Linked DNA regions of Daphnia pulex. The protein of the gene in region 1 purifies or fractionates together with the protein of each later gene. This does not show direct contact. Links are inferred from orthologs where the notes say so. Each region holds a gene or a part of one and is shown in the gene's direction. Other genes may lie near its edges. The genes, in order: protein kibra-like and merlin-like.

Region 1 (4,460 bases):
TAAGGAAACCAGCTAGAGTCACCCAGCGGCGACTTGTCCAATTTTAAGACGGAGGGAATTATTTGTTGGGAGATGAATTTTGTTCCTTTTATTATAATTGAAAACTAAAATTTTAGTGTCAAATTTTGTTGTACTATTTCATGAAAAAAGAATTAACGATGGGAAAACATCACCATCTTCGTTAATTGAGTTCTATTTGATTGATGAGTTCTTTTCCCTACCGCTATGTGGGCATAGATGGTTACTGAAAGATGATTGGCTCTTGTCCAAAGAAAGAATCGGCCTTGTACATCAAGTTATCGGTGAAAGCATCATTGCCATGTTTTTCTTTCTCATCCCGAGCTGCGCAATGGCCTCATTCTTTCGGATGGGAGAATGAATTTTCTGTTTTCGGTGGCAGAATACGAGAGAACACTCAACTCGGTACTCATTGAGGCTAGGTGGTTCTGCAACTTATTAATTACTAGCTCATATAAACATGGTTAAAATATCGACCACATGCCTAGAATGCCTGCCGAACCCACAAATTCCTGCTTTGCGCTCATAAAAAATTTTAATTCGGAGCCATTATTAGACTTCGAGGAAAGCCACGGCCCATGGCTTATCTCTTTTTTATTCAAGGTTATATCATATTTTGTTGCAGTTTGTATTCATCTGAGAAAAAATTTATGTCTCTGATCACTAACAATGGGGCGAAAGTCGAAGTTAATAGGTATAAAGTAAATTTTATATGCTGCACTGATTATAAGAGTGAGCTGTAATTTTAGAATTTACTAATTTGCTCGTGATAAGGGATGAGCATGTCAATGTCATACATAGAGGTTTTTCCTGTTATCTTCCAGACTCGAAAAACAAACAAAATTCGAAAATACGTTGTGCCAAGTTGGTGTTACGAATGTGCTTGATATTTAAATAAAGTTGATCCAATCGTAACAACCTCTAGTTATCGCATTGTTGTATTGGATTTCATAATCAGTTTTATACAGGTAACTGAAAAAATATTTGAAAAATGTTCATAGCCAATGCAATGCTCCTCGAATAATTTATCAAAGCAAATTAAACTTAGACTAGCCGAACCAAATTCCGTATGAACGGAGAAAAATAATTTGTTTTTGGCTCGGCGGTAGCGGCAGGGGAATAGTTGATAGTGCACATTCCTAGACGTTTTTGTCTAGGTCTCTGCCGAACAGCGTTCTTCCCATTTCCATTTGGCTTTAATAGTGCAGAGTATCTTCGTAAAATTGCTGTCAACCTACACTTAAGAACATGCCAATGAAAATTATTCGTTATGAATTCCGTCTTACTTCTTTATTTTTTTAAAATTCTATTTTGTCGTGTGAAGAAGAAATGCATCCATCTCCGCTGAATTAAGGAAATAATTACGGTGTAAAGCGCCAAAGATTAGAACTGATAGAGAGAACAAAGAGCTTTAATTTTCAAAGCACGAGCCATTTGGTACGAGGATTTCAGTTCATGTTTGGCGACTGGTACATTATTATTAGGAAAATATTCTGCGTTTTTCCCAGTTTATTACTGAGAACAACGACATCTGCTGTTCCGTAGGAGGAGGGCACTATTGGCTTCGAAATTGTCGAGTCTAACATTGAAGGAGGAATTCCTAGCTGGAATGCACCTTTAGCTTCGCTCGAATTGGTGTTTCGGCATAACTTGGAATTTTTGGACATTTAGAAGTGATTTTCACTCCTAAAAAGTGTTGGAAATAGTTCAACGATATCATCTTGTTGAGACACCGTGGTCAATTTCTGGGTTTTCCTGCAAATTCATGGTAATGCGAACTTAAAAACCGTTGGGGAAAATGTTGTGTTATGATAATGGGTCGCATTCCAATGACGTCACAAATAAAATGGCGCTGCTATCTACAAAATGAAACTCTCGACGTCCTGACTCAAGCTCAGAATTCTGCATCTAACATTCGACATTTCAGTGCAAAAACAGCGTCGAATATACCGTGAATGTGTTAGTGAATGATTTTTCTTCTGTTCTTTGTTGTACTTTTGTTGGAAATATTGCCATCGACATGTCCAAGCGTAATGGTGAGATCCCTTTGCCTCAAGGATGGGAGCTTGGTCGAGATTACGATGGCAAAGTGTACTTTATTGATCACAACAGCAAGAAAACAACTTGGGTTGATCCTCGAGACAGGTTTGTTAACATTTCAGATACTATTAATTTGAATTATTCTCTTTGGGCCCATCCTTCAAATGATGCTGAGACCTGTTGTCGATTGTGGAATGCTAACATGGCTGTCAAGTCCACACACAATAATTCCAATGAACTTTTGGATTATTTTTCTTCTATTTTGAAGTTGAGCCATAGCTTTTGGGAAATGCATGAAAAAAAATGAGAAATGTCCCCAAAACAAATGTTGAACTGAACTGCTATATCCTTGTTTTGGCTGCGCATACTTCCTATACGTCCATATTGTAAATTAAACATTCCAAGTATCTGTTGATTTAAAATTCAACTGAATCCTAATAGAAAAAATAGTGTTTTAAAATTAGTGTTAGATTCCAAAGAAATATGCAATTAAAATAATAGTTAATTATTTATAAAGTCTAGTGTTAATCAAGTATTGGATTTTTTTTGGTATTTATTTAGGTTAATAAAGCCGCAAACATTTGCAGACTGTGTTGGAAATGAATTACCTTTAGGTTGGGAAGAATCATATGACTCTCAGGTTGGACCTTTTTACACAAACCACATAACCCGTAAGTAAAAAAAAAAAGAAAAAAGAGTCAAGAGTTACATGACCTAGCAAACAAACAATTGTTTAAATTGCCTATTCAGAGACCAATCAGTTAGAAGACCCTCGGCTAGAATGGAGGTCTATACAAGAAGCCATGCTGAAAGAATATCTTCAAACTGCCAAAGAAGACCTTGAAGCCAAGAAAGAGATCTTGGATATTAAACAACAAAGATTAACTATTGCACAAGATGAGTTTCATCTACTTCGCCATGCCTACACAGGGCTTGATGCTTCGCGAACATCATGTAAGTGAAATTCTTCTTCGATAATGTAACGTCACAGGCGCTGGGATATTTCTTAGTTAGAACATCTCATTGCCACCCCACCCCCATCCTCTTTGTCTAACAAATATAATAAATATCCGGAATAATTTTTTTTTACAGTGAATTCCACAAGCAGTGGGTCAAGCACTAAATTTGATCCGGATTTGTTAAAAGCCGATGTGGCTTTAGCTAAAAATAGAGTTGCCCGGTTACGCCGGGATTTAGATGTTGCCAGAGCTGAATTCGCCTATCAGCAACGGGGTATCGACATGCTTTCACAGTAAGTTAGCTCTTTAAAGGAAGAATATCTTAATTGTCATAGAACCTATCTTAATCTTTTCATTTTCTTTACTTGACAGAGCTGAGACTAAATTGTCTTCTTTGCCTTGTGGTTACACATTGCAAGAAGCACAAGCCATGATGGCTGAATTGCGCAACATTCAACACTCGCTATCAAGCGGCGAGAAAGAAAAAGCAGAATTAATGGCTTCGTTGTCACGGTTGCGCGACGATTTAACCCGACTGAAGCCGCTGAACAACGACATGTCTCCAGATTTATCAACGTTATCCCTTCCACAAGAGAAATTTAGCACAGCCTCCCAAACAGATTTATCAGGTAGGATTAATTTAGGGGAGAAAAAAAAACAATAATGGAAATCATCAGTTTTACGCTAAATTTGTCATTTTTTCAGGCGAATCAGCTCCAATCGGAACACGCTTGGCTGAAATGGCCCGAACTCGTCTTCAGTACGACGAAGCAAGAAAACATTTGCAATACTTGCAACAGAAAATGGCAGAACTCGAGGATAGAATCGCTCCTGGTCAGAGTGAATCTGATAAAGACCGACTTCTGCTCATTCAGGAGAAAGAACAACTGCTGCGGGAACTGCGCAGCATCGCACCAAGGTCGCGCTCCAAAACCGAGATGGAAACGGTTCGAACCAAGATTCAACGGCTTGAGAAAGATCTTAGCCAAGCGTTAGAAGCTTCTAATCGAACTATAGCCGATCGACTTAAACTCCACGAAGAAAAACAAATTTTGTTGCAATCAATGAGATTAGCTTTGCGCAACGTAGCACTTTTAGAAGGGCAGCTCCGTTCACTATCTGCCAGCACATTAAGCATGTCAAGTAGTTCGAGTTTAGGATCTCTTTCGACTTCATCTAGGAGCCATGCATCGTCCAAGGTACTTATCTCATGAATTGATTTTGAATCTCATATAATTTATGGGTTTCTTTTTTGTTTCAAGGGCTCTTTATCATCTGTGTTATCGTTTACTGATATCTATGGACCACCACAATACTCTGCCATGGCTAATGCGGCCTTGCCTGGTCATGCCAATACACCTGGAGAAAGCGGATTATCTGGCTCACCAGTTGTAAACATGGCCGACTTACACCGTCGCGTAGAACGACTCCTTGCCAATCGAG
Region 2 (4,572 bases), on another chromosome or scaffold:
TATGTTTTGTTAATTGAGATATACATTTTTATGGAATACCTTAATCTAACTTTTTTTCTCTTATGCACTTATGAATGCATGTATAATAGATGCATGTTTTTTGGACCTGCCATCACAGCACTAGTCCAACCATCATTAAGTGATTCTTCGTCCAGGAAAAAGAAAGCAAAGGATATTTACATTCTTTGCTTGAGTGATGGTAAATCAATACTACATATCACTATTACTATACGCTTACATGAACTATAGCTTTTTCTTTGGACTCATATACTTGTCTGTTCGTTACTTGTGCTTAAATTCAAACGTTATAACAATATTTCTAATGTGTGAAATTCACTATTTCAAGGCAATGCTGATGGCTTAGGTAAAACAAGGAGAGAGGAACTAAAAAAAAGTTGCAAGATTCTTGGACTAGCTGATTCCAATATTATAATTCACAGGTAAAAATTCATTCAAACATTCATAAATTGTTGAAATTTCTTAAATTTTCTTAAATTTCTACATTATCTGTGAACAGTGGACCTCCTTTCTTTGAAGATGATCCACATTCTTTGTGGGATTTCAAATCAGTTGCAGATACTTTGAATATCTACATTGAAAAATTGAAAATTGACAGTGTAAGTATTTCAGGAATAGATTAATAGGCTTAACTAACAATACAATTTAATGCAATTTTTTATAGCTCATAACTTTTGATGAGAATGGAATCAGTGGCCACCTAAATCATAAATCGATTTATCAGGGGGTGTTGCAATTAAAGAAAGAAAGCAAAAAAAGAGGTATTTAAACTATATTATAGTGTGCATAATTAAATGTATTGATATTTAAAAGATCGTCTTTAATTTTTCCAACAGTTACTGTCCGAGTTTTCATTTTGGAAACGGTCAGTTTGTTTCGAAAATATTTGGGATTTATTGATTCGATTTTAATCAAACCTAGTGCATTAATCTGTACTGCCGATTGGGTTAATAGGATGAACATTCAGGTATTTTTTTAAACAGTTAATAATGTCAATTAAGACTTTTGCTAAATAAATTAATTATGTGTTCACGTTTAGAGAGCAATGGCAGCTCATGCTAGTCAATATGTTTGGTTTCGCCGTTTGTACATCATTTTTTCAAGATACTTATTCTTTAACACATTCATTCCCCTTGAAATTTACTAGCTTAGCTACTGCTTGTTGTCTCAGATATGCACCTGGAAGTGCGGTGGTTGGAAAATTTAAATCCTATCGATTCGATGCATTTTGGACACGGGTAAATTTACTCAGATTTTTTTGATCCCTTCAATTTTATGGATGTTTATAATTCCCTTAACAAAATACCTAGTCTTTTCTCTGGAGTGTGTAACATAAACAAAAAAGGGTATGTTGGCTCTTGTTTTTTTTTCCCTAATGAATTCTCACACGTGGCTGCTGTGTTTAACTTTATTGCATTTACTAAACAAAATTTAAAATATTGATGTTATCAGATGTTAGTGGTTGAAGTCAACAGTGCACGTAATGTATTATTTTTATTTGAATGAAAATGCAGTGAACAATAATACAATTTTGAAATTCGTCATACTCCTACTATACATGTATTCAACTATTTTCTAAAGCATGACATTTACGCTGTAATTTTGTGACGACCAGACATGAAATGTTTCTTTTTATAAAACTGAAGAAAAAAAAACGATTTCCCGCCAGTAGTTTCATGTTGTCCCGCCAGGGTCCAGATGGCTGTGCACTGTGGCAATAGTCAATAGATGGAAAATCCCATCGTCTGCAATCAAGCCTGTTTTTGTTCATTTTCCGTTGTTTTGTATCAGCTGAAAGAACAGTATTTGTTAATTCTGTGTTGATTCTACAAATGGAATGAATCAAAATGAAGACGTTTTCTAAGTTTTATAAGTTTTTGCATTAGATTTGTTTGATTAAGTTTAGGTCTCGGTGTGCTAAAATGAATTTCCGCCGGAAGCACAAATCGTCAAAATGTTTTCCAGTAAAAATTCTTACCCTAGACGCACAACTTGAATTCAACCTAGAGGTTTGTATTATTTATTCACATAATCATGTTCATGTAAAAAACTGACAATTATAACTCTTGTAGTGCAAAGCAAATGGAAGAGATTTATTTGATCTAGTGTGTCGAACTATTGGATTAAGGGAGACCTGGTATTTTGGGTTACAGTATGAAGACTGCAAAGGATTTCTGGCGTGGTTGAAAATGGATAGAAAAGGTGAGTGTTAATGCTTATTATGTGTCATTCACCTAATAACTGTTTGTATGGCCATAATATCTATAGTTCAGGACCAAGATGTGCCCAAAACAACTCCTGTGCCTTTTGTATTTTTGGCTAAGTTTTATCCCGAGAATGTGGCTGAAGAGCTGGTTCAAGAAATAACTCAACATTTGTTTTTCTTGCAAGTAAAGCAGAGTATACTCAACATGGATATATACTGTCCTCCTGAAATATCAGTCTTGCTTGCTTCATATGCTTTGCAAGCCAAGGTAATATTATTATATCTTGGGTGATTTTCCACAATTAATTTTTCCTTCCCATTAGTATGGTGATTATGATGAGGCAGCCATGAAACCTGGTCTCCTTGGTACAGAAGACTTACTGCCTAAGAGAGTTCTTGATCAGTATCAAATGACAGCTGAAATGTGGGAAGAAAGAATAAAAATTTGGTAATAAGGATCATCATTTCCATTTTAACCGTTTTATAGACTTAAGACTTTACTTTATGTTATATAGGTACGCGGATCATAAAGGTCTCAGTCGTGATGAGGCTGAAATGGAGTACTTGAGAATCGTACAGGATTTAGAAATGTATGGCGTTAACTATTTTCCTATAAAAGTGAGTTTAGAAACCCTAGCTAAAACTAAAATGCGTGTATATCTTGCATATTGTTAACTTGTTTTAATCTACAACTTATTATTCTATTTGAACAGAATAAAAGGGATTCCGAGTTGTGGCTTGGTGTTACGGCCCTCGGTCTGAATATTTACGAGCAGGATAACAAATCCGTACCGCGCATTAACTTTCCCTGGTCAGAGATCCAAAACATCAGCTATGACGACAAAAAGTTTGCCATTAAACCAGTCGACAAAACTGCACCCCCTTTTATTTTCTATTCGGATAAGCATCGAGTCAACAAATTGGTAATCCATGATTTTTACATAAATGAAAAAGGATAGCGAATTTTATTTCCGCATTTTTATGTCTAGATCTTAGATTTGTGTATTGGAAATCATGATCTCTTTATGCGTCGGAGGAAACCGGATTCAATTGAAGTTCAGCAAATGAAGGCTCAGGCTAAAGAAGAGAAACTCAGGTAAATTTGACCTTGACAAGTTTTGTCTTATTCATTGTTGAGTTCTTATTGTGGTTACTTTACCGTTTTTCAGACGACAGAGTGAAAGAAATAAGCTTGCACGAGAGAAGCAACTACGCGAAACAGCTGAACGTGAAAAAGCAGCCCTAGAACAACAGTTAATTCACTTTCAGGAAGAATTCCGTGTAGCGAACGAACAGTTGGTATGATATTCTTCAGTTTAATTTTTAGTTTTAGTATCAAGTACAGTATTTCATTATACCAATTTTGTAGAGGCGTTCCGAAGAGTCGGCTGAGCTGCTGGCCGAAAAGGCGCGAGTTGCAGAAGAAGAGTCAATGTTGTTAACTCAAAAAGCCTCAGACGCTGAACAAGAGTTGCAAAGAATTCGTTTATCTGCCATGAAAGTAAGTGAATTTTTTCATAACTTATTTAGGTAGCTTTACATTTAATTGTCTTTTTGCGTCTAGACCGAAGAGGAAAAACTTTTGTCTCAGAGACAATTACATGAGGCGAAGCAAATTGCCTCAAGGTTATTAGAGAATTCTGAGCGTTGTGCAGCAGAAGCAGAGCAGCTAAAAGGTGACCTTTTGCAGGCCCGTTACGCTGAAACTCAAGCCAAAAAGAAGCTACTAGAGTTTTTAACAACACAAGCTAGTGTTGCAGCCTTACACTCGGCATCTCGTCCAATTACACGCATCCCGTCGTCCGCGTCTGTCCTGGTACTTTGCAGTTTCTGTCAACATTTTAATGAGCGAATAACTACAATTACCATTTTTCAGTCTGTTCCCAACTTGTTTCCGACATCAAGTTCGTCGGTAGCTGGATCAGACCACCATTTACATCATCAGTCGGACATTCAGCAACATTTACGACGACTCGACGATGTCTCTAACGAAGCAAGTTTGCCGGCTTATGAGGCCCGCCTTCCTATTCCGCTGGCTAATCAGCTTACTGGCCTCACCAACTTAACTGGCTTAAGTAGTAGTGGATATCTATCAGCTATTGCTGCTTCCGAACTGGTCAACTCTTCATCCAACTATGACCTTATGACACATGGCGATATGGAGCAACTCTCACTTGAAATTGAGAAAGAGAGGTTGTAAATCTATCGTAGGAATTGTTGCGTAATTGTTTGCTCATTTTTTAAAATAAATTTAGAGTCGAATACTTGGAAAAATCGAAGCAACTGCAGGAGCAACTGAGAGAATTGCGTACAGAGATTGAAGTCTTGAAAGTAGGTGAAAAACAAAC

Evidence for each region.
Region 2: the proteins of protein kibra-like (region 1) and merlin-like purify together in Drosophila melanogaster (affinity purification with western blotting; 3 studies listed by BioGRID). This does not show direct contact. The link is inferred for Daphnia pulex from reciprocal best matches to the Drosophila melanogaster genes kibra and Mer.

What each region holds. Positions count from the first base shown.
Region 1 is NC_060020.1:3,560,627-3,565,086, forward strand, and holds the start of protein kibra-like, read left to right. Parts: upstream 1-1,566; 5' UTR 1,567-2,038; coding exon 2,039-2,163; intron 2,164-2,619; coding exon 2,620-2,729; intron 2,730-2,808; coding exon 2,809-3,012; intron 3,013-3,150; coding exon 3,151-3,310; intron 3,311-3,389; coding exon 3,390-3,646; intron 3,647-3,722; coding exon 3,723-4,216; intron 4,217-4,279; coding exon 4,280-4,460. UniProt on the Drosophila melanogaster protein: Regulator of the Hippo/SWH (Sav/Wts/Hpo) signaling pathway, a signaling pathway that plays a pivotal role in organ size control and tumor suppression by restricting proliferation and promoting apoptosis.
Region 2 is NC_060022.1:2,539,720-2,544,291, reverse strand, and holds the start of merlin-like, read left to right. Parts: upstream 1-1,720; 5' UTR 1,721-1,940; coding exon 1,941-2,027; intron 2,028-2,090; coding exon 2,091-2,220; intron 2,221-2,286; coding exon 2,287-2,492; intron 2,493-2,547; coding exon 2,548-2,672; intron 2,673-2,739; coding exon 2,740-2,842; intron 2,843-2,937; coding exon 2,938-3,147; intron 3,148-3,213; coding exon 3,214-3,320; intron 3,321-3,393; coding exon 3,394-3,523; intron 3,524-3,593; coding exon 3,594-3,725; intron 3,726-3,788; coding exon 3,789-4,040; intron 4,041-4,100; coding exon 4,101-4,417; intron 4,418-4,479; coding exon 4,480-4,572. Other genes in the region: N-acetylglucosaminyl-phosphatidylinositol de-N-acetylase-like, read left to right, coding at 90-199, 347-440, 518-617, 683-779, 855-985, 1,058-1,165. UniProt on the Drosophila melanogaster protein: Regulator of the Hippo/SWH (Sav/Wts/Hpo) signaling pathway, a signaling pathway that plays a pivotal role in organ size control and tumor suppression by restricting proliferation and promoting apoptosis.